2 linked regions of the Oreochromis niloticus genome follow. Each later gene encodes a partner of the first gene's protein in a complex. Links are inferred from orthologs where the notes say so. Each region holds a gene or a part of one and is shown on either strand. Other genes may lie near its edges.

Evidence for each region. Proteins that work in one complex are often made in the same cells at the same time.
Region 2: snrpe (region 1) and eftud2 share a complex: the UniProt entries of both Homo sapiens proteins name them as parts of the minor spliceosome. The link is inferred for Oreochromis niloticus from reciprocal best matches to the Homo sapiens genes SNRPE and EFTUD2.

What each region holds. Positions count from the first base shown.
Region 1 is NC_031970.2:34,218,216-34,226,205, reverse strand, and holds the start of snrpe (small nuclear ribonucleoprotein E), read left to right. Parts: upstream 1-4,960; 5' UTR 4,961-5,231; coding exon 5,232-5,285; intron 5,286-6,185; coding exon 6,186-6,212; intron 6,213-6,315; coding exon 6,316-6,378; intron 6,379-7,513; coding exon 7,514-7,592; intron 7,593-7,990. Other genes in the region: phenazine biosynthesis-like domain-containing protein 2, read left to right, coding at 2,183-2,215, 2,347-2,376, 2,473-2,561, 2,801-2,892, 3,356-3,439, 3,640-3,702, 3,810-3,922. UniProt on the Homo sapiens protein: Plays a role in pre-mRNA splicing as a core component of the spliceosomal U1, U2, U4 and U5 small nuclear ribonucleoproteins (snRNPs), the building blocks of the spliceosome.
Region 2 is NC_031969.2:27,313,096-27,321,136, reverse strand, and holds the start of eftud2 (116 kDa U5 small nuclear ribonucleoprotein component), read right to left. Parts: upstream 3,094-8,041; 5' UTR 2,939-3,093; intron 2,289-2,938; 5' UTR 2,278-2,288; coding exon 2,173-2,277; intron 2,076-2,172; coding exon 1,913-2,075; intron 1,313-1,912; coding exon 1,234-1,312; intron 1,082-1,233; coding exon 1,006-1,081; intron 789-1,005; coding exon 723-788; intron 624-722; coding exon 588-623; intron 429-587; coding exon 338-428; intron 212-337; coding exon 129-211; intron 9-128; coding exon 1-8. Other genes in the region: putative phosphatase phospho1, read right to left, coding at 4,679-5,533. UniProt on the Homo sapiens protein: Required for pre-mRNA splicing as component of the spliceosome, including pre-catalytic, catalytic and post-catalytic spliceosomal complexes. Component of the U5 snRNP and the U4/U6-U5 tri-snRNP complex, a building block of the spliceosome.

The DNA of each region.
Region 1 (7,990 bases):
CCAGCCAGCCAGAGAATCCCCCGCCGCCACGCCCTCTCCTCCCTGTGCCGCAAGCAGCAGGCGCACCTCGCAAACGGAGGGCGCCCTTACTCCCCGCAAATGGCCGCAAGAACACCGATCGGTGCCTATGACATCCCCAAAATGCGCTGGCATGATGTCGGGGCAGCATGAGTACGAGCAACTTTTTTTTTTTTGCCGATGCCCGTTATGCCGCCGCCCTGGGGAACCGCCCATGTCGCCCATATCAAAAACCGCTACTGGCGCCACCTGATGGGTAAACTGCAGCGGTGGTGAAATTTACACCAAGGGCGTAGATTTGGTTTTGGCATTGGTGGGGACAGATGATTCAACCACTGACTGAACCCTGCCCTGTTTCTTTGTTTTTACTTTTTGTCTTTGCTTCTTGATAAAAAAAAAAAAAAAAAAAGGAGAAATATACTTGCCTACATATGGTATTCTACATTCCAAAGCCTCTTAGATTATAATGCTGTAATGGAAAGCTCTCTTTCAAAAGTATACAGTATGGTGTATGATTCACATACTGCTTAAACTTAAAAGTAGTCCCTATAGGTGCAAGATAGAAATTTTTCAATATAGATTAACAAGTTTGTATGACTTTATAGTTATAAGAACGATAATAAAGCTCATGTATATTGTAGTTGCAGAAAATAAAACAGACTGAAATAAAACAACAAAAACCCGAAAACCTGAATAACATGACAAGTGAAATAAATGAGTCAAGGAAATTGTATGATAGGAAAAAACGGAGTCACTATTTTAAAAAAAAGCTGTGAGTAGTGGTGAAGAATTTGCACAGCTGTGAGGCTGTAAGAGAAAATGCCACGTCATTTTGTAATGATGTGAGCTGCAGGAACAGTTAGGCGTGTCTGAATCAAACCAGCGGCTCTGTTAACAAAGTGAGGTGTGAGTGAAGTCATGTAAGGCTGTTCAAACAATAAAGCAAAGTTTAAAATCAATTCTATATTGAATAAGTCTAATGTAGCGGGAGTAATGTGGTCTTTGCTCTTCTCGTCTCTGGCAGCTAAAGTTTGAACAAGGCAGAAGGAATTAAAATAGTCCAAATATGATGAGGAAAAAAGCCTGTATCAGTCTGCCTGAGATTATCAAAAAAAAAAGTGAAAAAAGTTTATTCGTAAAAGGACAAATCCACTCAATGAAAGCTAACTGTCTCCCATGAGATAGCTGGTATTAGGATAAAAAATGTTGCAAGAAGTTCAGCTTTCAGGTTACTATTAAGGACATAAATATCTGCTAGTGACCATAGGAAGATGTGACACTGTCACACGATTAAAACTTGTAAGTTTTGCCACAGACAACAGACATTTCAGGATCAGAATACAATTAAATTAGAGAAAAATATCTTCAAATCACCACAAAGTCTATTTCATGGCACTTTGTAGCTATTGAGAAATGTCAGTTACAAATTTTGGATTGTGTAAGAGAATCACGAAAGGTTAGCCTTCAGCAAAATTAAACTAGACCCATCAGGCAGGATTAAGGACACACAGTGCCATTGACAGTACAATGGCAGTAAGAAACACACTTAAGTAGCTCTATATAGCATTATTATAACATTGACCTTTAGATGTCTTGACCTTGAAGGGGAGGGTCATAGGTCAAATGTGACATATTTGAAATCTGTAGACCTTGTAGACTTGTAGATCTGTAGACCAACCTTCAAGTTGACCTTGAAGACCTTTGTGGATGTAAGCCAATCACTAACATTATTATCTACACTGCTTAACTCTGTGTATTTGAAACTAATACCAAAACAAAACTGAAAAAAGTCTTAAATGTGTGATTAACAGGATCAAGATTCCGCCTTCGATGGTTTACACCAACCACTGAAGTAGATCTGTGCGGTCATGCCACTCTGGCCTCTGCAGCAGTGCTATTCCAACACATCAGTAAGATGCAACATTTACACATAAAAAGGTTTTTGAAAAAAAAAAGTGACATCATGGTGCAGTAGAAAAGGCCGCTGGAGCTATTTTTAAAGATGCCTGTAATGCACAATGCAGCTGACTGCAAGAAGGAGCAAAGAGGTGCTAGCATGTAACCGTGTAATGGATGTTTTCCTTCAGAAAATGTAAATCCCACCCTGGTGTTTGAGACCAAGAGTGGAGATCTGCACGTCACCAAGAAGGAGGAAGGGTACATCATGGACTTTCCTCTGAATCCCCCCACCCGAGTGGTAAAATAAACTTTTCCTGTTTAGTTACATGAACAATTTAATCAAATCCTGTAATGTAAAATAAACTAGTTCTTGTGTTTTATTAACAGTGTATGTAAAATGGCTTTCTTTCTGAACTCTTTTTATTTCAGGAACCCAACGACTTCAAAGACACCATCAAGGTCAGAAATCACATTTTTGTGAACAGTTTGTGAAAGTGTAACTACATTCCTGTGTGTGTATTCAGCTAAGTCTCTGCCTTTACATGTGTGACACAGGCGGCAGTCGGAAACCTCCCGGTTCAGGAAGTTTTATTTTGCTACAACACCAAGAAGCTGCTGATTCGACTGGCTGACAGCTGTGACATGTTGGTTAAAAAAAACTTTGCTTGTTGCCAAATTCAAATGAATCTCAATAGTGGTCCTACTGTTCATGGGATCTTAAACATTTGTTCAGCAACAACAATCAGTTATATTTCTCAGGTGCCCAGCTAGTGGGGCTTATTCATATGTTTAAAGCCCAAACAAATAATCAAGCAACTGCCCTTCTACACCCACTCATCACATTTTAGTAAATGTATATATGCTTTTTGTGTATTATCTCCAGCTCCGCGCTTACCAATCTGAAAGTTGACACTGTGGCTCTTGAGAATACTGAGAGAAGTGGAAGATTCTGCGCCGTCATCGTCACTATGAAAGGTAATCGGAGCTGTGCCTTTCGTAGAGTTGTAGACTTGCTGGATCGGACCACATGTAGTAATTCCATTACAATGAAGACGTAAACAGTAAAGAATAAACCAAAGGAAACAAAACATGAAGTGTTTAAGTGAGGTGTTGTCCCACCATGTACCATCAGAAAAGCTTCGATGCACCTCTGTTAGAGGGATGAACAGCAATCTGCCAAAAACATTCCCTCATTTGGTGTTTTAATGATGATGGTGATGAAGAGCACAGTCTGTGATTTCACTCATCATATAGGCCTTCACTTGGGTTGAGCTCTGGGGAAATGTTTGATCACAGGACAAATGGTGCGCTGATTTCTCCTTTGCCATCACCATCCTGTGGACTCGTTTGTTGCCCATTTTAATTTGTGTAACAACACTGACTGAATGTTTCTGCCAACAAACATTAAATATCAAACACTGCTAACATGTGGAAACAGGATCACCAGACTGCCAGCCAGGATATGACTTCTATTCGAGAGACTTTTCTCCATGGGTTGGAGTCCCTGAGGATCCTGTCACTGGTAAGATGATTCCTCTTTACTAGTATGTAATCTATAGACATTATTCCTCAAATAACATAATTCTGACCATGTTTGTGTGTCTAAAAACATTTACATATAAGCAGCTGGACTAAAGTGATTAAAGAGGATGCATTTACAGGTGTCTTATTAATGAGAGAAAGTGTTAAGCTATTCCTGCTGTGCATTCTTTGCTCTGGCAGGATCTAACCACACAGTCCTAGGTAGCTACTGGTCTGAAAAACTAGGAAAGAAGAAAATGCTGGGTACGTATTTTAACCTTCTCCGCCTTTTACTAATGTGTCATTTATCTGATAACAGATGTTGTGTTCCACTTTTATCCATTATTAATCTGCTTATTGTGTCTGTGCAGCTTACCAGTGCTCCAGTCGTGGTGGCGAGCTGGAACTTGAACTGAGAGATGATGGAAGAATCAACATAGCTGGACAGGCCATCACTATTCTGCAGGGAACAATCAAACTGTAGGCTGAGACATCCAAGAAGACAGTGTCTGATGTTCTATCACAACCGTTGTGTCCCTGCAGATAGACACTTTGTGGCTCTTGATTAAAAATGAGATGGCTCAAATAAAAAGAAAAAACACACTCAAGTCCTGACTGTTCTATTCTGAAATGATTCAGCTAACAAACATACTGTAGGCTTTTTTACAATTTCTATCATTTATTCATAACATTACAGCAAAAAAAGTTACAACCAAAAGATTTTAAAATGGTAAAAACAGAAACACAAGAACACAGCAGGTAAAATCCAAAGAGTCACGGTTAGCCTTGTGGTCGGTAGAATTTTTTGCTTTTTGCTTAATAATGAATGGGGTTCAATAAAATTAAGTACAGCTGATATGGACTAAACTGGTATAAATGATACTGTGCAGATTCGTTTTGATCCTAAATAACGTGTACATATTCCTGAAATTAAAAGTCATCATGATGACATTGTCTAAGGAGCGTGGAAAGAAAAGCGTCTGGACTTCTTTAAGTTGCTTGACGACGTTTCACCTTTTCACCTCTCATCCGAGAAGCTTCTTCAGTTCTAGGATCAAATGGTGGCAAGTCCCAGATTTGACCATTTCCCACCATTTGACCCTAGAACTGAAGAAGCTTCTTTGATGAGAGGTGAAACGTCTTCAAGCAACTTAAAGAAGTCCAGACGCTTTTCTTTCCAAGCTCCTTAGACTACGATGACGTGGATGACTGAGAACCTTCACAGACATCATGATGACATGTTTTTTTGACATGTTTTTTTGTATAATCCTTTCCTGCACATACAGGTTTTTACTGACAAAACAATGGAATAAACAATGGAATAATCTATATTAGTGAGGCCCACTAATATAGTCAAGTTCTTTTAAAGTTGACACTTCTGGTTACATACTATAGCTCTATCATAGGAAACAGGAAATGACACTACACCTAGAGCTGGAGAATGTTAACTTTTCTCACATATAGACGATGATGGATGTTGCCATATAGCCTTTTAGTTTGTTTTTATGCTGAAGACTGGGCGCGTTTCACACTGCCAGCAAACTTCCACAGGTATGTTCTCGCGAGATTTCGGGTTATAAACGTTGATTTGTTCTAGTGTTTTTATTGATACCTCCCACCCGCAGGGGCGCTCTTTCACATCACGAGACCTCCGTGCTGGTACTGGCAGAGCACGCGAAAGGAAACCCGCCATTGAAGACGTCTCACAACGTGAGAGTTTCGTTGTAGTGCACTCTTAAGAAAAGGTGCAATTTTTTTCAGCATATACCTACAGCTGGTATTTAGTTGTAGGAATGGCATACAGAGGACAAGGACAGAAGGTCCAGAAGGTTATGGTGCAGCCCATTGTATCCTTTTGTATTGCAGGACGACACTGCGCGGTTGAATTGGTTGCTACAATAGCTTAGCAGCTAGGCTAACATTTAGTCATTCGTAAACATTTGTAGTCACTCATGTGAGGAGAGGAGTTTTACAAGGCATGTAAGCTTTTGTGAAGACCAGTTTCACCCAGAGAAGTCACGCGGGTATGAAATATGTTTGCAGAAAAATGTGGTTTATTGAAATCCAGTCAGAAAACTAGTGTATAGACTTAGCCGCTTTAAGCCCGGCTCTGCTGTTCCGTGTTACAGCTGAACGCAAAAGAGGCTAATTTCTGCCTTCAAACTACTCAATATGATACCATAAGGAGGGTTTTAGGCCCACCAATCGATAGTTATTAACACCAAAATATAATATGATGTGGGAGAGTAAGGAAGTTACGGAATACTTAACTAACGAAAGTGTCTTGACAATTATTAGTTATAAAACCGGAATTACCTTCAGCTTCTCAAATGTTTTAAAAATATAATTAGTTAATTGTTAGTGGAACTTAATAGTGTTTTCTTTTATTTGCTATGGATCCACGTTTAAATGGTCTCTTATGGGAATGCCAGCATGTTATATTAGTGCTAATATTGTGTAAGAATTAAAATGACCAAAAATAAATGTAACTATATTTTAATTCTTTGTTAAACAGATTTTTATTTACAAAAGGATCAGGGGAAAATAATAAAGTTTGCCCTCAAGATATGAAGACCAAAAGCCAATTTTAAGCCAGGAAGAACCCCTGACCCAAACTCTGATTCTGAATCACATTTCCGATAACTTGGACTAAATGCGAATATAACCATTAACAATATATGTGCACATTTTAACTCTAAACATGTTGAACTCGAGTCTGTGTGTATGTCCTTGACTGTGGTTGTCAGAATCTCATTTTCAGGTACCTGCAAAATGTAAGTAGCTTGTAACTTTTTTGTGCTTACTTCTGATTAGTTTTGTTTTCTGGTAATTTTGAAGATAAAACTGTATGCAGTTTATTCTCCCTCTCATTCTCAGCGCTCACGGATCCAAGTTTGGTTGTATGAACAGGTGAACATGCGGATAGAAGGCTGCATTATTGTAAGTAACATATAACCTTTCTCCATGTTCTTGGTCAGTTTATCAAGCTTGATGTTCATGGGCAGTGTGCCATATTTTCCAAAAAACACGGTAATAACGACGGCCCACTAGCATGCGCTACCAAAAATAGTGCTTTGTTGTGTATCTGACGGACGAAAGCTAAACCAGTTCCACACCACTGAAGTTGCAGCATTTTTACAAACCAATTCTGGTTCATCCGTTTCATTCAACAATCCGCTTTCGCCCTTCTTATTCTCCGTAGCCGCCGTGCTTTTTCCGCCATGTGCGTATGAAAACAAAGGCACTGCACATGCGCGTTTTACCCAGATTCTATCATGATATTTCATTTTCTTATCGTTGTCCAACATTATACCGGTATTACCGTGAACAGTATGATATGGCCAAGCCCTACCTGTTATCAGTGTGGATGTCCAGGTACTTGTTCTCCTCCTCCACATTAGCATTCTGTCCCGGGATAGACACAGGTGGTATAGCCACCCGTTTTCTTCTGCAGTCTGTCATCTCTGTGGTCCTATTCACAATCAGAAACAGTGGATCCCTCTCTGACAACTCCACCAAATCATCCACTAGTGCTCTGTACTCCTGCTGCCCATCACTGATGCATCCAACCACTGCAGAATTATTAGTTTTGTAGGTGGCATGACTGAAAGTCTGAGGTGTGCAAGGTGAACAGGAGTGGAGATGGCTCAGTTCCCTGTGGAGCTCCTGTATGTCATCATTTTGACACCGAGCACTGCCCAGTTTCACATACTGTTTATCATATAATCAGTGATCCATGAGATGGCCAACTGTTTACTGACATTCCCTTTAGCCTTCTCTAAGTAGCAGTGGCTGAAATGTGTTATACGCACCAAAGAAATCAAAGAAGGTGATCTTCACCATGTGCGTGTTGCTATTGAGATGGAAATAAGCTCTCACTAGGAACAAACCTTTGTCACTTGCTGTTCCCCTGTATGGCCACATTATGTCCTAGCATGGCTTAAAATGATTCAGTCTAACTTGAAATGGCCTGATCTGTGAGTAGCGTTTCCACTCAGGCTGAACCTTCTGTGAGATCAGGCATGCACAAGTTCTAGTTAGTAAGTTCTAGTTGTCTTGTGTCTCATTGCCTTAGGGTTTCGATGAGTACATGAATCTGGTTCTAGACGATGCTGAGGAAGTCCACATGAAGACTAAGAACAGAAAACCATTGGGTAAGAGCGCACCACTTTTTGTAAAGCTGTTTTATTATTTTACAATTTTAGGAAGGATGTCTGTGAAAGGTAAGAATTAAAAAAAAATGTGTGTCATCAAGACATTGTTGCTTCTCAGGGATTTTTGAAAACACTTGTCCTGCATATCCCAGAAAGTGCAAACCCAATTCTGAAAATGCTGGGATGCTATGTAAAGTGTAATTAAAAACAATTACAGTGATTTGAAACAAAGAAGCAAAATACAAACACAAAACACATGTAAGAATTTCAAGACAATCGTCAGTCTGCTTTGGTGCATTTTTTTGTTTCGTGACGTACTAAATGTTTTCAAATGGTGAAAGTGCAGGCCAATTCTGTAGCTGCTACGACATTAGCAGCTACATTTGTGGATGGCACAG
Region 2 (8,041 bases), on another chromosome or scaffold:
AGCATCACCTGGGCAGAGATACACAAATATCTGTGAGATCTATGGGCAGCTGAAGAACACACGCATAATGACATAAAAAGATATAGATAGTGTTGGTTTGGGAGAACCGCAAATAGAAGTTGACTCACTCCTTCTGCTGCATCTATGAAGAGGACAACGCCATCTGAGAGGCGGATGCTAGATGTGACCTCATCAGAGAAATTCACGTGGCCTATGGGAGGACGAGCACAAAAGTAGACTTGTTAGTTTTGTGTTTTTTGTCAGCAATATTTAGATCATTCTATAAAACCTCAAAATATGCATCTAACAACTTAAGGATCCAATGTGAATACAATACCTGGTGTATCCATTATATTGAAAAGGTAGGATTTTCCTCTGGAGTCAGGCAGGACCATTGTGACAGGGGTACTTTTGATGCCAACTCCTCTCTATAAAAATGGATCAGGTAAAAAGCAAGGGAAACATTGATACAGTCTTCTAAAGAAGATATTCAGGCTGAAATAGACTCTGGATACTTATAAATATTGATAGAATTATTTAGTAATGAATGCTCTGTAGCGTTATGGCAGTTAAACCAAGCCACTCACCTCTTGTTCGGTAAAGAGGATGTCTGTGTATCGGAGCTGAAAAAGTAAAACAGATCATGTTGATCTCAGCTGTCATATACAGAATTTATGTATAACAGAGTGCAAACATGTTGAATTATTGTACACAACACTCACATCCACATCATCTCTCTTCCTGATTTCTGGGTGTGTCTGCTCAATCAGGCAATCCACAAAACAGGTCTGAATGGAATAAACACATTCATTAGATTCCCGTGAGCCACAGATGGCTCTAAAGTGCAGCCATGTTATTAGCATATGCTCCAAAATGTTCCAAATCTGTTCAATTTTTCATCTTAGGAACACATGTTCGCTTGGCTACATGCTGGAGAAGAGCCACGACTGGAAGAGCATATTTAAAGAAGCCTGAGCCCGGAGCAGGAATAAGGCAGACTCTAACCTTGCCGTGGTGAAGGTGACCGCAGAGGGTGACGTTACGAATCAGCTCTGGTCCGTCCATCAGATCTGCAAGAAATCTGACGAGGGAGAAGAGGGTTAATGCTGCTTGCTAAAGACACACTATAAATGCATGAAGATGGACTAATGTGTAAAGAATATTACACGAGATCAGTCTGTGAAACACTGAATTGCATTTTCAGATGCAACAAACCACTTGAACAATTCTTACTCCATATCGTAAACTGTGGCAGGCAACTCCTGTTCCATCAGGGTGAACTGCTTGTTCTTCACAGGCTTGATGATCGGCTCTGGAAGGAGTAAAGAGAAAATATTGTGTACAGGATTATGAAAAGAAGCATTTTTAAGACTGCACTCCTTGACTATTTTTATAGTTAAAATACATCTGAAAATACAGAGAGTGAATCTGTGCGTTCAAAACATATACATTTTTCTTTAATTTTGCCCAGTATTGCAACACAGGTGTACTATTGCGCCTGTTTTCATCCATCTATGTTCTTCCACTTATGCTGCTTCCTAACAAACCCAAATTCACTGTTAAGTTCAGCTCGACCAAGACAAGACCTTCGGGGTTTCTCGTTAGTGACTACACATGTAAGAATGATTGGTCCTCATAAAGTTAAAGCGATGAGCATCTGTTACTTGACAGAAGTCTACGCATTTTCCTATCATCTTTTGTAGCTTTTTTTTTTTTTTTTTTTTTTTTATTCTTGACTAAAGTAAAATCTATTTTTAAAATAAACAAAATTTCAAAAGTAATGTTAATCATGGTGCTGGTAATTTTCTGTTGAGAGAAGGCAAAAACCTCTTTTCTGTATGTAGAAACCTTGATTTTGGTCAACAAGGTTTTTTTTTTTTTTTCATCTTTAGATAAATTTAAGCAGCCCTACCTGTAAGTGGTTGTGTATCTTCCTCCTGTACAATAGTTTCCACTTCAGGCCCATAGACCTCCTCTGCTGTAGGATAGTACTTCTTGTCCTCATGCAGGACCACCTCCATGCCAGGGACATCATCATCAGCATCCGCTGGCTCATCCTCGTCATCTTCATCACCCTGCAAATTGTAAATACCACAAACTCATGTACTCACTGCAAACACGAACTTCAGTACTACCTGGTAATTACTGCTGGTTCTTGAGTGTTAAGCATACCTCGTCGACGTCTCTGTCCTCTGCATCCAGGTCATCATCATCGTCGTCAGAGTCCAGCTCTGGACCGATGTAGTTCCCAAACTCGTCATACAAATCAGCCTCCATATCGCAGAGAACTAAATGAGGGGTTGATATGTCAATGAGCAAGTGCATTTGGTGGCAAAGTTCATTTTATAAATACGATCCACTGTAGCATACAAAACGCATAACGTTTCAGCAGAAAAATATATAGGAGAGGAAAAAACGACGAGATATTTAAAATGTATAATGTATCTTATTGCTGTTTAAGTTAGCCAAAACGTAACGTGTCAGTGAGTCATCAATAACACATCAGTAACTTCCTCACTTTAATGCTTCACTAGAAAAGGAAATTTACTTTTAATATAAGTTAGCTTTAGCTTGTTTTTGTCTGCCAGTGGCGGTTAACATTCATGAGAAAGTATATACCACTGTAAGTCACCGCTAAAGCGAATGCTAACGCTAACCGCTGCACAGCATGCAGGGACGCAGTTCAGTTACTTTTATAAAGTTCACTCGAGTTTTCTGTCCACAGAGAATCAGCACAGAAAATGCATCTTGACTAAGACGTTTCCGTTTGATATAAGCAGCTCTTCTATTACTGCACTAGCGATCCTAAGACGACCATGCTAGCCGGCTAACAAGCACAGAAATGAATGGCTTGAAAGCGACGTTTGAGTTACGTTGTTGTTGTTCAGAGATTTTAGTTCAAGATAACTCAGTGCTGCATGCTGCTAAATACACGTACCTGTATCCTGTAGGAATCACTTAATTATCGATTTCGAACAAACTGAAAGTTGTGTTTATAAGCAGACGAGAATATATTATTCAAAGAGCGCCATGCGCACCAGACGCTTCCGGTTTTCTTCTTCAGCTGTTTAATATGAAGGCGGTTAACAATTTATGTTAAAGCTCACTACTGCCCCCATTTGGGCTACAAAGCCACTACTGCACACGTTTGCAAAACGGAGGGTTCATTGCTACATCGCTTCACCATCTACAAATGGCACTTGCTGCAAAATAAAACGTGTGTACTCACAGAGCATTTATGTAATGATTTGTTTTTATTTTTATATCTTCATTGACGTCCGTGTGCAATTGTTTCCCTCAGGTGATCCTCATATGTAACTACAACTTCCTCTATTTTTAGAGTTATTTTGATAACTACTTTCAGAATATGTTAGCCGAAAGACTCAGAAAATGTAAACGTTACCGTGTTGTAGACATAAATCTTAATTGGTGACCTGAATGAAGACCTTAACAACATCGCGTATGTAGTTACACCCTTTAGCCACAAGAGGGTACTAGACACGAATGAATATGCTCGTGAGGAGATAAAAAGGAGATGACAGTAAAGACATATATTGAAATATTTTTTATACACTAAAACTCAGGCATGCCTTCTAATGAAGAATGAAAATACTTTTCTAACAAATAAGAAAGTATAAGACGTCATTCTGGAAAATATTTCATTGGTTTATTGGGTTTTAATGTGGCTTTCAGGTGTCATTTCAAACATGTCATTTTTAATTGCAGTCTCTTTCAAAGGATTTCGTAATTGTTATGGCATGCAAATTGTGTGTTTGTGATGGGAGTTAAAGCCGTCTAAAATTTCAGACGAGTTATATCGTAGCAGTTGTCAGCGTTGCAACAGAAAAAGTGACACTATGGCCCGCCTTTATTGGGGGGGGGTCACTGCTGCTGGTGGATTTTGGCAATGTGATAAAACGTACACAGACACAGTTTCAGTCGATGGCTTTATTCCTGCTGGTGTTGATAGTTTCAGTAGGCGAAGCCTACACAATGAAGACAGGCTGATAAACAATAACACACACTCTTGATACACGGTCATTCATACAGTTCTCAATTAGACAGAAGGACAGTTTCAATGCCCTTTGCCATCAGATGACAGTGTAAGTCTGAATTTTATTTAATGAATTTAATGTTGCATATTCAAAAATGTGCAGTTTGTAACAAAACAGTTATAACTGCTATTCAGGAGCACTCAAGTCAGTTGATTGATATACTTGTCATGTTATTTATAAGATTTTTATTGACTGCTGCAGTGATTCCTCACACCACTGACCCACTTTAACATTTACGATCACTCCATGGTCCACACTGAAGGATATTTATTAATCGGATGCTCTCAAACTTTATAGTTATACTGAAATATTCTTTAATATGCTTATATCATTACATTTGATCTTTTTCCCCACTTTGGGTAACAGCTGAGGTCTTGATGTCTAATGATTAAACCGAGTTTCTATTTCAGGACTGACCTCGGGAACAAAAACGTGAGATTCTGGACTGAGGCACGTGTTGGATGCCAGATAGACACAATGACCCTCGCAGATGGTACAAATTATCTTATTGCCTTGCACAACAATTTCTGGGAATATTTTACCTGAGAATATGACATAAAGTGTCAGCTGGCCCCTTGATTACCCCCCTCTGTGCTACACTCTCTCTCTAAGTGTGTGACCCTTTAATCTGCCACCAGTTTCCGGAGCCGCTGCACCACATCCTCCGCGCTCACCCAAGGCACCGTGACAGCCTTGAACTCCCCTGGCTGGGCTTCGTGGGTCTCGGTGATCAGCCGGTGCATGGGGAAGTCTCTCCGCGGGAAGGCCACGTCGCGGGGACCGAGGGAGAGCGCGGGGCAGAAGTCATTAGCTCCGTCCCCGACGTAGAAGATCCTCTGGTACGGGCGCCCCCGCTCCTGCGTTCTGCGGGCCACGTAGTCCCTGACGATCACCTGCTTGCACATGTTGTCTGGGCACCGGGGGCAGTCGTGAGAGTGGAAGGGCCGCAGCACCAGCCGCCCGTCCTTGTTGAAGGTCGCGGGGTTGGAAAAGATCCGGTGGAACAGCTGCCGGGCCCCGACGCGCCGGAGCCAGCACTCTATGAAGTAGGTGTTGGCGTCGGACAGCAGTATCACCTCAAAGTCCTTCGCGGGCCGGTTGCGGAGGAACTGGAAGAGGGTGAGCATGCCGGGTGTGGCCGGTATCTTCTCCATGACGCTGCGTATGTCGCTCTCGGTGACGCCCTGCTCCGCTAGGTAGGCCAGCACCCGCTGCATGTATTCGTTGTAGCGGCCGGGCTGATAAGTGTCCGTCAGCCACCCGGGGAGGTGCTGACCCGGGGCGGCCTGCACTACCATGTCATCGCTGGTTTCATCCACGATGGTCTCGTCGAAGTCAAAGAAGATCAGGAAGCGCTTGTCAGGGGAGATGTGAGCTGGGTGGGAGGCCATGATCTCTGAGCGCCTGGGTCTCTGGGGTTCCTCCTCGCCTGGGGGATGGGGTGGGACATAACAGCAGTTGAAGAACGAATCCCCCATGATTTACTACGCCACACCTTTTAATATTGCCAAGTGGCATCAAATCTCCACCCCCGCTCTTCTGCTCTCCAGCATCCCACGCAATGGGCCGCGGTGAGGTAGAGGGTGACCTTCTGGGAAACATCAATGCAATAAAGGAGGGTGTGGGGGTTTGGGTGGAGGCAAAGAAGTCAAATATAGATTTCACAGGAATAATATAATTTCAATGAAAAGGCACGGGGAAAAAAAAAATCTATAAATATAATATAAAGCAGCCAACCAGCAGCTGTGTCAGACAAGAGGCGGCAGCAAATTATGGATTTGTGGAGAGGGGGAAAAAAGGGTCAAGTATTGTGTAGAAGAGCGAAAAACAAGGTAAGACTCACTCATGCAGTTCCAGCAAGCAAGCAAAACGATAAGCTACAGATTATATATCCGGGCAGGTCAGCCCTATTCAACTTTTTCACAGGCCGTGTGCTTACCTTGGATTTTCCCTGATGTCTACAGTGGAAGTCCAGATCCAACCAGTTGCCTTCAAAGTGTGACTGGTTTGTTCCTTTATGGGGGGAAAAATACAATGAATGCTGAATCAGTGGAAAAGCAGTACGGGACAAACTTAAAAGGCAGACAAATGCCGAAAAAAGATCAACAGAGAGCTTATACAGCAAATTTAGATATAATAAAAACCCAGCACACACAAAAAAAACTTAATTAGGGATTTTAGACTTTTTTTTAAAGCTTTTTTTTTTTTTTTTTTTTTTTTTAAAGCTTACTAATTAGTAAGAACAGTCGAGGCTTCTTATCAAGCTGTTAATCTAGAAGGGTTTTGTTTTACATAACAGCAGCACAACCATCATGCAGTGAAGGCAGTGAGCGCTGGATTGAGGTTTAAAATACTACTACTAATAGAAATAATAATAATTACAGATGAGTCACCGGCTCTGGTTCCGATCCCCGGTGTCAGTCAGCTCCGATCCGGTCTCATAGAGGAGAGGTAGAGTTCCGCCGGTCGGCCGGTGGCTCGCGCACTTTTATGTGCCACTCAAACCCACCGGAGCCGCTCTGAACGTGACCGCGCCTCCGAGTCCGCCCATTTAATAGCAGCCTATTGCGCGCGTTCACGATATAAAAGGTGGAGGAGAGAGGGGATTGTGGGAGTAGGGGGAGGAAGGAAGAAAAACCCATCGAGAGTAAATAGTCCGTTCCTTGAATATAACCGTAGAAGAAATGTGCGCCAGTCTCGTAAATGTAGCCTATTAGTATTTTTACATGGCTCCAAACGTGGCATAGTCACATCCACACAATGGAGCATTTACCGAAAAAAAAAAAAAAGAGAGTGAGAGAGAGGATAAGCACTTCTGGTAGCAGTGGGAGGTCAATGGGAAAAGGTCAAGCTCTCAAGTTTTCCCATTTATACATCTTTGTGTAATTCCAATTTGGAGTGGAGAGTCAGGGATAACATCCGAATAACCCCGTCTCATCTGAATTTGCTAAAGTAACTCAGCTGCATTCACTTAAAACAGAAAACAGTTTTAATGCTCTCTCATGTCCTTACAAAGAGAACAAGCACCTTCCCTCATCCAGGATGATCTGGATTTCCGGCCAATAAGTACTCTGTTGCAAAGGCGGCACAGGGAACGGGGGCAAAGTACCACATGCGAGACATTTGTGAGGATGACTGGAACGAAATCATTTCACATCTGAGAGAAGTGTTGTGTTTTCGTTTATTAACTACAGGGAAACATTAGCATCGCAGCAAGGGAGTTTGTGTTGCCTGCTTGTTTCTCCACGAGACAGCGGTCTAGATAAAACCCTGCAAGTATACTGATTAATGAACCGCACAGCAAGTTTCAGAGCGGTGCACACTTGCCTACAAAAACATGGCATGAAGCCCTCCTCTCTTTATCTGCCTGCTGACAGACGGAGGGGGGGGGCCTCCTCCCTCCTCGACACCGCAAGGCGTAATGACTAACAGCTGGGGAGGCCGACTATTTTCAAGCCCAAATGGGAATGGAGATGTACAGACGGTGTGTTATTATCTCCCCTGCTCATGGAGTGAGCCTTGGTACCTGACCACCCACTCACCAACAGTGAGTCACTCACACTTTTCTCTACCCATCAGCCCGCTCTGCTACCTTATAGGATTATGTGACTCATTGGTGCACCACTTAAAACCTCCTATGGTGATGGAGGATACACAGTATTTTAGGAGGTATTCTAGCAACAGTAAATGCCTTAATGTGACCTCAGTGGAGGTACACGCTGTTAATGCATGAATAAACCTGGCTGAGATGCAACAAGAGATATCCAAAAAGTCAATTTTAAACACCCTCTTGTAATCTATGTAAGTAGTTATATGGCCTCAAGGTGCATTTGCATATCTAAGAGGTACAATGTGGGTACTTGACTGTCAAGATCACTGCCCTCAAATACAATAAAGCCTGCTGTGACTTTAAAGTGAACAGGAAGTGTTCACAAAGAAGAGGATCTAAAACTTCTCTTGTCAAATAAATGCTCAGCAAAGCAAAG